2 linked regions of the Daphnia pulex genome follow. The protein of the gene in region 1 binds, or shares a complex with, the protein of each later gene. Links are inferred from orthologs where the notes say so. Each region holds a gene or a part of one and is shown on either strand. Other genes may lie near its edges.

Region 1 (8,574 bases):
ATTGGTTAGTAAATCGGGAGGAACTCGTGGTGACTTTAATCGTACAAAAAATGACAATGTACCATTCCGTTGTTAAGTTTAAAATTATCTATTTTGTTTAAACGAATTGGAAAATGCAAATTTAAAGACAGTTAACTTGCAATTTTTATTTTCTTCTAATTTAGACGTGTCCATCGTAAACTAGTAAGGAAGAGTTTTCGAGCAACGTCATCATCCAGAGCTTGGGGTGAAACCTCAGCTTCTGCACAATTACTAATATTCCAGTTCCAAATTAGACAACGGCTGTGATGTTAACACACAATTATTTGAAGTCACCTGAAATATTTCCCAGTTACTTTTTCAAGTGAGGGATCAAGTGCTGCGTATAGAGTTGTCTGCGCTCCTCTCGGGGGCGTTCGAATAAAAGGCCAGGAAAGTGGTTTAAGAATGATGCTTGCAAACCAACTGTTGACAAAACCCATGTGACGAGCAATATTTGTATTCACAATTCCTGGGTGTAAGGCGTTTACGGTCACACCGGTTCCTGGTAATTTTAAATTGATCAGATTATTTTTTAAAATATAGTTTTGAAATTAATTTATTATTTTACCTTCCAGGCGTTTTGCTAGTTCGCGCGTGAACAGAACATTGGCTAACTTACTCTGTTCGTAAGCTGCTGCAGGATCGTACTTTTTTTCCGAGTTGAGGTCATCAAAATCTATTTTTCCTCTTAAATGGGCCACGCTTGAAACGTTAATGATTCGACTGGGTGCGGATTGCTATTAATACAGCGCTTTTAAAATAGGTATGACATCATTTTTAAATATTAATTCTTACTTTAAGTTTATCAAGCAACAGATGGGTAAGAAGAAAATGACCAAAATGGTTTACCTGTAAAAATTTATTATTGTATTGAGATATTGGAGAAACTCAATTTTATTGTATCGTATATTACCCCTATCTGCATCTCGATACCTTCGAGAGTTAAACTACGAGGACAACGCATTACCCCGGCATTGTTAATAAGGATATGCAACTTTGATTCCTCTAGAAAATAGTTAAGTACATTTGCCACAAAAGGGAATCATATAAGAAAAATACCAGAATTAAATCTTGAAGCAAACTGTCTGATTGATTCCTGTGATGCTAGGTCACATTTTCGGCAATAGATGAATTTGTTCCCACTTTCAAGGACAAATTCTTTTCTAATTTCTTCACACTTCTTCATATCACGAGAGGCCATATATACTTTTGCTCCTCTTTTAGCTAGATCTTTAGCTGTTTCCTTTCCAATTCCATCAGTAGCCCCAGTAATAATCACTGTTTTTCCGTCTAATTTTTCTTTACCTTCATATCTAGTTCCACTGAAATATTCTCTAAAACAACATGAATATTTTAGGTCTAGCAGCAAGATTTGCTGAACTTTAGACAATTTTTTTTACTTGACCAGTATGATCCCGCCACCAAATGCTCCAACAGCAGAGAACCATAAATAAGGTGCAGGAATCTTCATGGTTTATGTTTTCTAAAACCTTTTAGGTTTCGATAGAAAATTGAGAAGGTAAAAATTCGAAGCAACTGTTTACATTTATTTCGGCTGCTCGCGATGGTTGCCCATGGGCAACCCCAACCATGACCATGATTTCAAACAGATTCACGATTGTTCACGAATTAAATTATATTTCGTCTGAACCAGTCCAAATTTAGAATATAAAACTGAAGCTGGTTGAGAAATCATTTTTTAATGAATGTATTTTAAGAAATTTAAGGATAGCAAAAGTTGCAATAAGGCAGTTTTAGTTGCAATTTTTATCCGTATGGTGGAGCACTAGGTCATCGTTCGCATCATAACAGTTTTGAAAATGGAACTTGCAGAAGGATGTGTGTTACAATATCCCTTAGAAAAATGTCCGGCTAATTATATAAATTTAGTCGGTAGCAGAGTCGAAGTTTTAACAATTAATCATGTCAAGTTTGTTGGACAAATCTACTCAATGGATCCAATAAGTGGAAGGTTAGTAGAAACCACAAAGTTTAAGACAACAATGCATGCATATGAAGCCATAGTTTAACATTTCTTTTGAATCTTTCATTTTTAGTCTTTTTATGATGGTCGATCGTTGTAACCAAGAAGAAAGAAGCATAAAATTAGTTATTGGAAATTCAATTAAGTATCTCAAGATTGTAAAATTAACATCAACCAATACCAGAACCCTTACGCAAGAGAACAATGGAATGCAAGGACCTGGAGCTAGCTCCCAACATACTGAAGATTGGAAGCCGCTGAAAGATGCCCTGAAAAAATGGTTTCATGAAAGCCGTATTCCAGTGAATGAAAATAATTATGGTTGTTTACTAGTGCTAAATGAAATAGTAGTAGGCCCCCCTTACAGACCAGAAAATTGTTCTGGTACTAATGAAGTCATGTTGTGGCGAGTTCAAAAATTACTAGAAAACTTTTATCAGAAATGATTTGATTATGGATGGTGTAAACAATTATGTGTGTATTTGTGTTTTGAATATTGATCAAGTAAATTCTTTCATCACTTGACTCGCTTCTGTTGTCGTTTCCTGTAAATATCATTTGGTGGCGGTCCACCAGGCTGAGATCCACTAATGGCGATCGGCTCCTCATCTTCAGACTCTTCACCCACCCCTCTCTTTTTTTGTGGACGATCGACACCCGTATCTTTCGGAAGCCAATGAACACTTCGAGCCATGTCAAATAGTTTAGAATTTTCCGCTGTATTTGCAAGAAGAGAACCTAAAATACACCAATAAATGTTAATGTTTAAAAATATAATACAGCCAAGGGAAATCAAAGTATTACTTGTTTCGCTTATATTCAAATGTTTAATAAGCTCCATTACTGGATCGACTACTACAAAAGGACCGTGGAAACAATGCGGAGGCGGTAACATTCCGCACAGTTGAGAGGCTGCAGGTGGAAGCGGAAATCCTCCTCCTGTCCAAACGCATCAAAGAATTCGTTAAGTTGTAATCTAGAAATACTTTGTAGAAACTTTACCAGGCGCAATGTGTTCTCCGGGGGTCCATTGCATCTTCGGCTTGAACGGAACCATCTGAGAAAAATCGGGCTTGTACATGGTAACATCAGCCGCTTCTGTGCTTTGTTTTCTACTTTCTTCCTCTCTAGCAAGGAGGTTTTTAGCATTTTGACTACTACTCAGCTCTGCTACTTCGTAGTATCCCAAAGCCCTTTTAAGAGAATCATTAAAAACAAATATTAGAAAAAAGTTATCAAGTAACATAAGAAACTCACCTTAAATCCGCGGCTGAGCAAGGGAAGAGGGTTCCAAATCTATACCGATCAATAAGAAGTGCTGTTTCTTTACCTTCCAGTTCCTTAAGCTAAAATAAATAACACAATTGAAATGAATCCAAAAATACACAACACTAAATGAAAAAAAAAATAAAATAAAAAATACCTTGTCGAGAACGGCGTTGCGTCTTTTTTCTACTTTGATTACACTCGAAAGATCACCAATAGAAGACTCAAATTCGAGGAAGCGGTTCCAAATTTCAAGCGAATTTTCAGAAGTGAGGGAACCTGATGAAAGAATCCTTTCAAAGAGAACTCTAGTGTTGTTATCTTCATTTAGTTGGGTCAAGAATTCCACATAAGCAAGCAGATAATCAGGTTGATGCTTGAAACGTTTGAGGCCTAGATCGAATATTTTAAAGGCGATATTTTTGTCCTTGGTGCAATAATATTCCATTAAGGCAGCAGCTACGAAAACATGGCTAGAACAGCGGGGATCCTGGCGAGATCTCTTGAACACTAGTCGAGCCGATTTAATACCTTCTGCTCTCCTTGCAAATCGCATATATTGAATATAACCCTGCGAATGTTTTAAACATAAGGGGTTTGTATGTACAATGTAAAAAGTGATAAAATTACCAAAGTTGGGTCGATGTCATGCTGCTCCAAATATTTTGTATAGATCTGATGAGCTTTGTCGTACTTAATTCGTCCCTCTTCGTAATCCGCATAAGCGAAATAAAGCAAACTATTATGTGACATGGGCCCATTAATTGATCGTTCATAAATATTTGAGACTTCTTCAGCTAAGTTCTTGGCAGCCGTAACATCCTAAAAAGAATCTTTAAATTTAAGAATATTGACAGAAATTGGTGCTTTAACTTACCCCTTTATCTGAAAGAGTTTTTGTGCTAATCTGTAGAAAAAGGGCAGCTTCATACCAAACATGAGGATGATGTCCCAGACATAGGAGACATTGTTCGAAAGCGAACATTGTTCTCTTAGTGAGTAGTGACTGGTCTTCCGTACGGAGGGGATTCGATTTCTCCCAAGCCAGATACTTCTTCCACAGTTCCACCTGTTTGTTTTGTTCCGGATGATTGGATGGAGGAGTCGAAGGCATAGCCTTGTTAAGACCGCGAGTGCAGGCCTCTAGTTCTTTGGCAACTCTTCTAGCATTCATGTAATCACGGCTGCGCTCCTAAATAATTGAAAATAAGTGTTTAAAAAGTGTTAGGGTAAGGTTTAAAAAAAAAAAAACTGTACCTGTTGCATCTTTTCAGCAATCATGGGGTTAATAGCCAATTCATAAGCAATGTAATCCTTCCATAGTTGTTCAATGTTAAGCATTGGAGTGATTACACCCCTTTGATACACTTTCCTCACAGCCGTGATCCTTTGATTTTCAGCATAAGATCCAACAGCTTCAACATTACGGAGGAAGTGAATATAGTCATTCCAAATACTGTATGACTGAATATCCATCCCAACTTTGTCCAGTGTAAAATCGTAGCATTGAGCAATTTTTTCTCTGTGAACATTGGTATGATTAAAGAAAACAATATTTAGTGTTTGTATATTCAAGTTTGTTGTACCTGTAGTTGGGCAGAGCACTTTTGGTTTCTTTCACATAGTTAACATACAATTTCCACAGTTCAATGTTTAAAACCTTGACCAAGCATCGTTGAAACAGCTAAAAATAGGGAGGAGCAAGATTGAATGGCTTCATTAGAATGTGCTAAATTAATTGCTACCTTTTCGACTTTATCATAGTTTCTTGCTCGCATTTCTTGTTCAATGTACATTTTCCAATAACGACCTGATGTCGGAAACTGGGCCACCAAGCGTTCAAAGTAAGTTCGAGCATCATCAATCTTGCGTATTTGGGCTTCACGCAAAATTTGACCCCAAGCTTCCAAATCAAATGGATTCGATTCTATAGCCTTCTCGGCTCTTGCTAATTTATCAGCCATTTGTTTATTTTAATGCCAGTAAGCTGAAAATTGTTTATAAATTGATGAACCACGTTTCTACAATTCCATTCAAAATCGCAAACAAGTCACACTTGACAACTTACTGCTTTTGAAATAACATCGTCTGCATCAAGCATCAAGCCTGCAAAAGAGCCTGCCGGCAAGCTCCAGAGATGGCGTTACGGCTGGTTGGTACGAAAATTCGAAGGAAGAGAACTGCTCAGAAATGAGTCAGTCGTCAGTGAGAGAACTTGCAAAAATAATATAGCAGGGTGTGTGCATTTGCATTCTGCCTCTGCGGTTCTGCCATTAACTCTGAGATTTGAGAAACAAACAGATGGCAGAAATCATTCATTCTAGGATAGGGTCTATTTCATGTGAAGTTACGTGAGCACAGGTCTGTCCTTGTTATACTTCCTCGAAAATGGCACCCATCTCTGTAGGTAAACATCAGTTTCATTTATTTTCAGTTTGAATTGTACTACTCAAATCAAGATGATTGCAACGTGACCAGCAATTCTTACAGGTTAAACCCTGGTGATGATACTATAATGTTAGTTTTGTTATCTGCCAAAATTAATGTTGTAATAGGGAAATACTTTATCCAACGTTAGCAGCAATTTCAACAATTATTGCAGGTGTGAAAAGCATTGTATTTAAACAAACATTTATCGAGAAATGAACATGTGTTTGTGTGGGGTTTTTTTTTGGGGGGGGGGGGTATATTATTTAAACCAAGGAACTAGAAAGTTTGGCACAACCTCGTCAGCGTACGTTGACCAAGTTTGTATTTGCTATTTGGTAACGGTTACCTAAAACAAACTATGTAACTCTGTAACTTGTGAATTCGGTAACGAGTCATTTTCCTGTTTGAGAATTTGGTTCCATAAAACGACAGTATTTATCGACAAACAATTCGATTTTTTTAATTGTCGGGTTTGTGACCACGATTGATCGAATACGACCACATCGCACAGGAGGGAATCAACTTCGTCGATAGCGCTGTTAAGTTTAAGAGTCAATTTAAAATTTTTTCCGGCCACAATCTGCGATTCTGCTTTGATAATCCTAATCAATCGGACAGGTCCTGAGTTATTATTTGCAGATATGGCGGTTGTGGCGAAATCGGCGATCTCCTTTATGTAGGCGTCGTCCACGTCGATAGTAGAAAATCCGCCAGTGATTCTAGCAGGAATGTTCTCATTGACTTCTGGTTGTATTTCAATTGGCATTCCGAAAAATCCAAATGGACCGGGACTAGGATGTTTAATACGAAGGATTTCGCCAACTTCATCACCACTCATGAAAACTCGATCAATGGCGTAAATGGTTCCCAAATCTTTTTCCAATTGAATGGCTACCTGTTGGATTTCTGTCTCGTTTACCAGCTGTGTTAAAGGATCTAGAAAAAAGAAGTCAAAATAAGCAGTGATTCAGTTTTTCTGTAAAATCATCCTAAAACAAATTTTAATTGAATTTAGGAAGATTTGCAGCCGATTTTTTTTTAGAGAAGTTCAAATCAATCCAGTAAATATGTTTTTATTTCATTTTTAATGTTTAATAATTTTTTATTTAAATAACTAACTTACGGACTGCTGGATCACAGGCGGCTTGGCATTCTTCTTCTGTTTCAAAAAGATTTTTCGTCTTGAAACAGCCACCGTATACGTAGTTCTCACATCTGCCGGAATTTGGCTGGAACGTCCATGACGGGATGTATGCTTCACATTCAGATCCATCGCTGTCTATTGGAGGTAGGTTGCATAATTCATTTGCGCTCTTGCTTGTGAAAATAACCTCGTTAGAGTCGGCCATGACGAGCTTGTCCAATTTCCCTATATCGTCCGACGAAACATCCTCGCGAACAAAATGGCGAATCAGTACCGACCGGCGAAAATCGGCGTCCATTACGAGAGGATCGCCAGCGTCTTGCGGCATTTGCATCATGAAAGCCATCGATGTGGGTGCAAATAACGTGTAGCCCAATTTTCTTCCGTCTATTTTTTCCCGTTCAGTCAAATAGGATAAATAGTTAGTATTTAATATTAAATTCACTTAATTCTAAAATGCAACTATGAACATTTTTCGTAATTACCAGAACTGGTGAGAGGAAACTCTTTTATCAAGGTTTCACGAGACGCATTTAGATAACCAGCCATTCTCGACAAGTCTTCACGTCCGTCAATAGCTCGCAGTATTTCAGTTACTATGTCAGTCTCGGCTTCGATCGGCGCCAAACAATTGGACTCCTTCAGTTCAAGTGTGTGAGTCCACGATTGATGAAAAACGAGTACATTGCAAATAAGATTACTTCCTACGGCTCCATCGGCAGCACTACCCAGCTCCAGAGTTAGTTTGTAATTCTTACCGGCTACAACCTGCGATTCTGCTTTTACAACTTTGATCAATGCTAATGGCCCCGAATTACTGCTTTCTGATATTCTAGTTGTAGCAAAATTAGCCATTTCTTTGACTGAAGCGTCGTCGGTGTCGATCGGCGAGAAGCCACCGACCATCATCGCCGGAGTGTCAGGAACAGCTTCGATTTGTGGTTTTTGACAGTTCACAGAAGCTCCCAGTTCACGAGCTTCGGTCCAAGAATGAATTACTTTAATTGGTAAACAGTTTGACTTGCTCAGTTTCCGTGTTTGCGTCCATGGCTGATGGAAAACAATCACTTCGCAAAGGGTTTCTTCGGTCTCGCTAGCCCCGTCAACGACGCTACTGAGCTCTAGGATCAATTTATAATTCCTTCCGGCCACTACTTGGGATTCAGCTTTGACTATTTTGATTAGTGATAAAGGCCCAGAATTGCTGCTCTCCGATATGGCACTTGTAGCAAATTCGGCTATTTCCTTGACGTTGGGATCGTCCACGTCGATCGGTGAGAATCCGCCTACTACCTTTCTTGGGCGACCTGGAACTCGGCCTGGAATATGGCGTTTAGTGAGTGAAACCGAAACAGCGCTCTCAATAAGGGTCAATGTTAAGATAACCAACAGGAAGAAAGTCGCTTTTGGAGTCAGTGTATAAGACATGTCGTCTTAATGCCTATGTTATAAACGATAGGAAGTAGCACTTCAAATGGTGAGAGATCCGACGATGCTGCCACAATTTTGAACACTGCGAGCTTCTTTTATGCCGACCACGCTCTTCCTTCAGACCCGCTAGCTGTAAAAACTAGATCAAAACTCGTTTGGAAGTCCTTGGTCTAGATTTTTCATTAGCAGTCCATGGTAACATAACAATTTGAATGACGAAAGGGTTTCAGCGATTTTGGGGTATAGAAAAGTACGTTATTGCAGCTTATCAGCCAATCCCATTCGGAACGATGTCTGT
Region 2 (8,148 bases), on another chromosome or scaffold:
AGCGAACTGAAACTTAGATTAAAAATTACCTGTTTTTAGTTACACTGCTGCTGAAATTCCTTACTGTTCCCAGATAATAAAAAGCTTATGACTGATTAAACGATCTGGTGGCAACCATAGATTACAGGATTACGTAATACTATTTTCAGTTACGTTAAAAAAATAAAATAGTTAATTAATGTATCAATATAATCCACATTCAGTATTAGTTTACCTGTTTCTCGTTAACATAAACGGTACAATATTATCCAATATCACAAAATTTCCAGATCAAATCACCTAGAATTTAAAGAAAGCAGGCAAAACCCAATAAAAAAATTCCCTTCTTCATATATTTTTTTAAAATAGGAAAAAGAAGAAGATGTTGAACACAATAAACAACCCAGTCACTTTGAAATCCTTGGTGGAGGATGGTAGTATATAGGTAGACTTAAAAGGGACTGGAATTGGTACCTATCACGACTTTCCTAGAGAATCCACAGACAAAATTGAAGAAATAAGACAATAAATGGGGGCATTCGGGCACCAACAAAAAAAAAAGACTACAAATAATAAAACGAAAAAGTGCGAATCTTCGCTATAGCATACCAATCAGAATAACAGGAGTAAAGCAATAAAGGCCAAAAATTCACTACCCACTTCTTACGGGTGAGTGCCGCCTTTGTTGCTCCACTCGGTTATTATCATTATCACTTCGTTAGTAAGATATTATTATTGCACTTTCTTTCAATTTGGTTTTGAACCTGTTAGTAGAGTGCAGGTTTGATACGTAACTTGACTGGATGATGTTGCTGGATTTGATGAGCAGTTGGTTTGGTGGCTGTGCGTAAATTGGGAGTGGGGATTTCTCGTGCAACTACGCCTTCGTCTTGAATGATTCGAGGAAAAAAAAATGAATAAAAAAAATAAATAAAGGCATTTAGAGGGATCACGAGTTGCAATGGGGCCAGCTATACAGACACCATAAGGCGAAGTGGAGCCATAAGAACTCAAAACAAACAAAAAAACTGGAAAATAAAAATTACCAGAGCTCATGGCTCCACTCGTTAAGAGATACTATGTTGATGAGATGGTCGTATTTTTAAGTACATTCTTCCCTGTCTTTCGCGTTAATCTACAATTAAGCTTTCATCACATGAGAATAATAATGCTTCCGGTAAAAGCATTATTGGTTCAAAGGGCAAGGGGGTTTACAATGATCGAATCCCATTTTTATCAAAATTGGCAATTAAGTAAATTGACTTTGTCGCTCCATTGGCCCGGAAGTGACGCACCAGATGGCGGTTCAGTGCACGGCTAACAAAGAATGAAACGAAAAAATTCAACATAAACTCTTTCACAAAATAAGTGAAAAAGTTGGAAAACAAAAGTATTCAAATCACCAAATACCGTACCGTTTCACAGATATTCATATTGCAGCAATCTTCGATGTTGATGACACGCTCAGCTGCTGGTCGGTAGTTCTTCCCCTTGATGACTCGCCTCTTGAAACGCGATCGTCCAGAGCTTAATCGCCATACGCGGAAACTCAGAATAATAACAGCGATTATTAGAATGACGCACATGACAGATGTGCTCATCAATGCTATGAAGATTTCGCTGTTCTCAGCCTCAGTAGCTGTTGAGAAAGATGACCTCCCGCAACTATTTCGAGACGTATCAACAGTGTCTGTTATTTCACAGCGGTCACCACTATAGTTCTCTGCACAACTGTACAAGACTTTCGTTAATTATTGCCAACGCATAATTAATTTTTTAAAAATTACCTGCAACTAATTTCGTTGTTGACAAAAAAGCAATGTCCCTCATTAAAGCAATAGCCGATACACAATCCGGAGTCCGTTTCGGAAACTGGGGTAACATGGAACTCTTGAGGCGTATTATTTGATTCAGACGAAGAATCCATTGCCGGTGTTGATCGGTGTTCCGAATGATGAATTAGCTCTGTTGTAGCTGCTGAATGTTGGATATCGATCGAACAATGAACTGGTTGGCGCTGGAGTATGATGACAGCCATGGGTTTATATTGGAAACGACGTAGAGAAACCGGTCCATCGATAGATCCTTCTTTGGGCAGGGACCAGAGAGACTTCTGGTCCCAGTCTGTCCAGTATATGTCATGTTCTCCAACCTTGTCAATTTAAGAAGGAAAATAAAGAAATCTTATGTCAAACGCGAGTAAGAAAAAATAAATACCGTAAGACCGAAAATAAATTGCCCCCGCATTTCATGGCCCTTGCCTTCGTACAAGAGCTCTCTGTCCGATCCGTCAACTTTGCTTCTTTCAATTTGAAAAGTTCCATGACGAAGGTTGTTGGCCCAGTAAATCATTTGCTGACTAACATCCAATCCCAATCCGTGAGGCATAAAAAGTCCTTTATGTACGATAACCTCGCGGTGACTACCATTGAGATAGGATCGTTCAATGGTAGGTCTATCTATATTCCAATTGGTCCAGTACAGCATTCTGAAACAGAATAGAATAATTTAAAAATGTTACATAACTACAAACATTTGATTAACAAAATACCTTGTACAAGGATCAGATATCAGTCCTCTTGGTTTATCTCCTCGGAGCAGATGGACTAGTTCAATCGTGTTGTTTTCGTAGACATGAAGGTCTTCACGTTCAACTACGAATCGGCGAATCGACTGTTTGGTACCGTCAGTCCATAACAGTGTTTTCTCCAGATTATCATAGGTCAAAGCTTCAACCGACTCGTTGGTTCCTCCTACTCATCACGTTCACAAACATTAGCATGTATGGACAGATATCAAATCGCAAAATAAAAATATTACTTTCCACGACATCATGGACAGAGCCTTGAGCCTTGATCCCATCGAATGTGACGCTAAACACGTGCCCTCGTCGATTACGCTTGTCTGAGAAGAAGAGTTTTTGTGAAGATGGATCGTAAGCCAGGGCGACCAGTACGGAAGCATTGTAGTTCTCCAATTTGAGTGGATTGCTTTGAGATCCATTGGTCAGGATTTCAATTTGATCGCCGACAGCAACAATTAAATCTGGAAATGGAAATAAGTGGTTAAGAGACCATTCCGGAACGAGTTATCCGACTCTTGTCTTGCGATCGATGGACTGGCAATCCGATATGCTCTTATAAAGTCTACGTGCTACAAGTTCTAGATGGGAGCGATACCAAAGTCACAGCTACAGAATGAGTCTACGTGACCGAATCGATGAAATGATAACGGATGTTTTAGGTTTCTTGCCGACATTTTGCGAAAAACAGAACACGTTATTAAACTCAAGAATCGGTTTAAATCCGACCGATATCAAAAAGGTAAACTAGTGGTTGTTTTGTTTTGTCTTGAATCCTAATGTTTCCACGTCGGAAATTCGTGGAACTAGTTAATATCTTCTACGCACGAAATTTTGCATTTTACTATTATTAACTTCCTGCAAATAGCAAGGTCGACTAATGACGTGCTCAAGGAGAAAATAGCAAAATATTGACAAACATGAATGCAGACAAAATAAGTTTCAAGGACCAACTACCGGCAGACGATATTTAGTCAATATCAGAAGTAACACGTTTCCTAAGGTATTCCCCGGATATCACGTGAGAATTGCATTTTTATTACAAGAGAAAGCTCGCTGGTTTGTTTTTATGATGTTGTCAATGGATTTTTATTTTCTTTTAAAGCCTGTGTGAGAGCAGAATTTTTTGTGTAGTCAGCTGTAGCAATAGTCATATTTCGATACCAGTGTCGTCTGCTACTACGGACTACGTGACTTGGCTCGGCATTTCCCATTTAATAATCGTATGGTAGGCAAAAATGTGTATATTTACCGTCGTAGGATTTGGTTGCGGCAGCAAGTGCGAAGAAAATCCACACTAATAAGGATCGTGAATTCATATCTCGATCCGTAGGCACAGAAGACAAATTTATAAAATACTCATTGATAAAAAGAAACGATCTTAGTTGAACAAATGATGAGTAATATTCTTTGTCTTCACCGGCCACCGAGACACCATGTACCGGGAAACCTGCCAAACCAACTAAATGTAGTCCGGCCGAAATTCTTGAGATCATGCGCGATGCAACCTTATTCCCTGATCTACTTTGTACTGCCGTGTCTCGTGGCTGGTGCAACACTAAACACTCTGGCGGCTAACAATGCAACTTCCGGCAATGCGCCATCTCGTTTGTTATCTTGAAATCGTATCCTACTTGTCGGCATTTTCTGTGTTTACACTGGTTCGAGAAAGACATAATCTTGTTCTTGTATTTTTCTCGTTCGATTTTGAATATTTAATTCACACAAAATGAAAGACTCCGAAATTTTGGAAGCGATGGAATCTAAAAATGCGATAAAGTTTAAAGAACAAATTTATCGACTCATTATCAGGTAGTGTAACATAGTTAAGTTTGTACTCGAGTCATCGTACGCGTGGTTATATTGTCTTGACGTGTTTTTCCCTTTATGTAGCCAATTATTTTATGATGGTTTCCAATCACTGGCTGTCAGTCTATCATCAGCAGTTCAAGCACATCCAACATGCCCCCCATCCGATCGACTCAATCATATTGTCTCGCTAGGACTTCAGCATGAACACAGTAACTCGATATTCAATGATAGGAAATACAATTTTATAACCATGTTTAATCTTTGGTAATATTTTTCAGCATTGAAGAAACCATTAAATAAAGTGGAGATGCTTTTGGGTCCAGGACTGGATTTGGAATATGAAACTGATGTTCAAACCTCAGCTCCAGAACCAGCACTTTATGAAACTGCATATGTAACATCCCACAAAGCGCAATGTAGATCTGGGGCTTTCAGCCCTGATGGTCAGTTAGTTGCCACTGGAAGTGTTGATGCATCCATCAAGGTGACATGAGCAACACCTTTCTACAATTTCATTACCTAATAACAAGTTCAATTGTAGATCCTTGATGTTGATCGAATGTTGGCTAAATCATCCCCAGATGGAGAAATGGCAACTGATCAGCAAGGCCATCCTGTTATCAGAACTTTATATGACCACGTAGAAGAAGTGACCTGTCTGGAATTCCATCCTCGTGACGCCATTCTCGCATCTGGATCTCGCGATTGCACTGTTAAATTATTTGACTTCAGTAAAGCAGCGGCAAAGAAAGCTTTCAAAACACTATCAGTAACAAAAAAGCTTTTCTCGTGGCCCTTACAGTTCCTATTGAATTTTTATATGATTTGTTTAATAGGATTCAGATCAAATTCGTTGCATGGCTTTCCATCCTACCGGAGACTATTTGGTTGTTGGTACAAATCAGCCCGTTGTACGTCTGTATGACACCAACACCGCTCAATGCTACGTCTGTTCATTTCCGTCTCAGTATCACACCAACGCTATTACCTCACTTAAGTATTTATTAATTGGAAGAAAGCATTTGTTAAACAAATTATAATGTGTTTATCGTAGGTATTCTTTTGATGGCAAACTTTATGTATCCGGTTCTCGAGATGGTTCCATAAAACTCTGGGACGGAGTGTCTAACAAGTGTGTCGGTACCATTAGCCAAGCCCACGACGGTGCGGAAGTTGGATCTGTTACATTTTCTCGCAGTGGCAAAGTATTTACACTGTCGTTTCTTACCCATATTTATAACTGGTTTTAACTGTATGTCAATGTTTTTTTTTCTCTAATTAATCAGTATGTTCTTTCATCTGGCACGGATTCATCTGTTAAACTTTGGGAGCTCTCTTCACTACGCTGCATTATAGCCTACACTGGAGCTGGCACAATGGGTAAGATAATTATTACAAGTATGAGGCTTATATTCAATAATCAAACGTAATTATGGTTTATGAAGGCAAACAAGAGCACCGTGCTCAAGCTCTATTTAACCATTCGGAAGATTTTGTCATGTTCCCCGACGAGGCAACAACATCCTTGTGTTGTTGGGATGCTCGGACAGCTCAACGCAAACAGTTGTTGTCGCTTGGTAAGGAGGAAAAAATTCAATGGATAAAATAATTCATTTAATATCTTGTTGATATTTTTTTAGGTCACAATGGTGCGGTCCGTTACATTATCCATGCGCCTAGTACGGCGGCTTTTCTCACCTGCTCAGACGATTACCGCGCCAGGTTTTGGTACCGTCGCAACCCACATTAGATTAAGCTGTCAAATTGTACATGAATAATTGAATAAATGAGAAAAGCTACACTTTCATCTGAATAAATAATTTTGTTTCTTGTTTGGATTGAAACCGTATAGTTTCTACAAATGACGTCATTAACGTCAGTGCATTTAGAGGCTATGTATAACGGGGTCATACTCTATTCTTTCGAGATTATCTAATTGGTTCCACCATACTTTAAGATGGCTGTTGAGAATAAGTTTGAACCACGGTGTAAAGGGGATGTTATTCTTTTCGAGGTAGCCTTGAAATTCTTGAAAGCCGGATAGGGAGACGAAAACAACGCGGCTCACTTCGTTCGGGTTGGGTTTTACGGGAACGTCTTTCCTCAAAAACAGGATATAATCCACTTCATGTTCACCCCATTTGGCATCAGAAGGTGCACCATAAATGATTCTGGTGAGAATTTTAAAATCAGACAGCTCAATACTATCTGGACTGATGCCCAGTTCAATTTCAAGCCTTCTTCTAGCAGCTCTTCTGATCCCTACATGGTGAGCTTCTTCAGCTTCATCAGGTGTTGTATTATGTAACGGATGACTGCAACAGGAATTTGTATAATAACCTATTACAAATAACACATTTACTAGACTATAGTTACTTTGCTGTAGTCATACAAACCAGGAAAAGTAATTTTGTGATTGGATCTCTGTTGCATCAGTAGCTCATTTTTGGTATTAAAGAGAAAAACACTGAAGGCCCGATGAAGAGGTGGGAGTTGACCATCTGGACCAAGTAAATGAGCTGCTTCCTTTGATAAATTCCCAACTGCTCTATCATTAGTGTCGACGGAAATGCATTGCTCCTGAAGTAGGAGAGCTTGAGTAGGATCCATAGCTAGATGTTGGTTCATTCTGACACTAGAAAATGATGACAGTTCGTTTAACATAGACCAATTTGAAGCACGATTCAGAATAGAAGAAATCTTTCTGAGGACTTTCCCTGCCATTCGTTAAAATATCAACAGAAACGAATACCAAAGTGGCTAATAGAAAAAAAATACTGGGAAATGAGAACTAACAGAAAATCAAACTATCCCACGTGAGCGTAATGGTGAGACTGACTAACTGAGACGTCTGCTCTACAGTAATCAACTAATCAGAATCGGGATCACGGATTCACGATGTAGGATCTAGGATAATAGACAAGTTCGGGATGCTGAGTTGCACAACCGCAAAATTAGGATCGTGCGCCAACGAGTTTTTGTAACGTTGTGGGGATAGTAGAAAGCGGGTTTTTTATTATTTAAGCATAGAATTACTTATCTAATCTTAGAAATGTTCAGGATTATCGTTGTTTAGAACATTCTGCTTTTTATAGAGTAATTTGAAATGTATAATTCAGCTTAGTTTACCCATTAAAATTAAAGAAAGTCCAAGCCTGGGATGCTGTTTAGTCTTTTCTTGTGTTTTTTGACAGATCTGCTGACAAGTGACAAGCTCAAACACACAAGAAAAGACTAAACAGCATCCCAGGCTTGGACTTTCTTTAATTTTAATGGGTAAACTAAGCTGAATTATACATTTCAAATTACTCTATAAAAAGCAGAATGTTCTAAACAACGATAATCCTGAACATTTCTAAGATTAGATAAGTAATTCTATGCTTAAATAATAAAAAACCCGCTTTCTACTATCCCCACAACGTTACAAAAACTCGTTGGCGCACGATCCTAATTTTGCGGTTGTGCAACTCAGCATCCCGAACTTGTCTATAGTATCTCTTTTACAAAATAGTATCTCTTTTACAAAATAAACCCACTTTCCAAATTACTTTTTTTTAAAGCACAAGCTATATATTTATCTACTTTTTCGTAAACGAGTTTTCTGTATAATTTTATGAAACCTGAAAAATGACACCAGTTGGAAAGTAATAGCTACTGATCCAGTGATATGTGTCATTTAAAATTTTCGGAGAATTCCATTCGTTCTCTTTAATTAAGTCTTATGACTATAGTGGCAGAAACAATTATTTTTCAAATTAACTTTTATTAAATAACCG

What was found.
Region 2: the proteins of cleavage stimulation factor subunit 3-like (region 1) and cleavage stimulation factor subunit 1-like are in contact, whole or in part, in a crystal structure (PDB 6B3X), measured with the Homo sapiens proteins. The link is inferred for Daphnia pulex from reciprocal best matches to the Homo sapiens genes CSTF3 and CSTF1. Residues at the interface, in NP_001317.1 of Homo sapiens: Tyr581, Pro582, Lys583, Pro584, Asp585, Thr586, Gln588, Met589, Ile590, Pro591, Phe592, Pro594; in NP_001028693.1 of Homo sapiens: Arg118, Glu216, Ala217, His226, Pro227, Ser228, Asp230, Phe231, Thr240, Arg242, Leu243, Tyr244, Cys251, Phe252, Val253, Ser254, Cys255, Tyr270, Ser272, Ser273, Ala274, Asn275, Gly291, Val292, Ser293, Asn294.

Annotation. Positions count from the first base shown.
Region 1 is NC_060019.1:11,046,838-11,055,411, reverse strand, and holds cleavage stimulation factor subunit 3-like, read right to left. Parts: upstream 5,387-8,574; 5' UTR 5,236-5,386; coding exon 5,017-5,235; intron 4,956-5,016; coding exon 4,858-4,955; intron 4,794-4,857; coding exon 4,529-4,793; intron 4,464-4,528; coding exon 4,149-4,463; intron 4,094-4,148; coding exon 3,902-4,093; intron 3,843-3,901; coding exon 3,429-3,842; intron 3,352-3,428; coding exon 3,263-3,351; intron 3,199-3,262; coding exon 3,008-3,198; intron 2,945-3,007; coding exon 2,810-2,944; intron 2,744-2,809; coding exon 2,523-2,743; 3' UTR 2,464-2,522; downstream 1-2,463. Other genes in the region: GTP 3',8-cyclase, mitochondrial-like, read left to right, coding at 1-76; retinol dehydrogenase 13-like, read right to left, coding at 156-252, 316-523, 590-758, 817-870, 935-1,026, 1,081-1,355, 1,422-1,492; uncharacterized protein LOC124191292, read right to left, coding at 6,048-6,637, 6,825-7,232, 7,331-8,273. UniProt on the Homo sapiens protein: One of the multiple factors required for polyadenylation and 3'-end cleavage of mammalian pre-mRNAs.
Region 2 is NC_060027.1:1,880,582-1,888,729, forward strand, and holds cleavage stimulation factor subunit 1-like, read left to right. Parts: upstream 1-4,167; 5' UTR 4,168-4,289; coding exon 4,290-4,372; intron 4,373-4,453; coding exon 4,454-4,581; intron 4,582-4,650; coding exon 4,651-4,856; intron 4,857-4,913; coding exon 4,914-5,141; intron 5,142-5,208; coding exon 5,209-5,369; intron 5,370-5,426; coding exon 5,427-5,577; intron 5,578-5,658; coding exon 5,659-5,752; intron 5,753-5,817; coding exon 5,818-5,949; intron 5,950-6,012; coding exon 6,013-6,122; 3' UTR 6,123-6,189; downstream 6,190-8,148. Other genes in the region: protein cueball-like, read right to left, coding at 1,216-1,296, 1,395-1,710, 1,767-2,131, 2,197-2,467, 2,531-2,732, 2,800-3,024, 3,813-4,056; isopentenyl-diphosphate Delta-isomerase 1-like, read right to left, coding at 6,258-6,712, 6,769-7,007. UniProt on the Homo sapiens protein: One of the multiple factors required for polyadenylation and 3'-end cleavage of mammalian pre-mRNAs. May be responsible for the interaction of CSTF with other factors to form a stable complex on the pre-mRNA.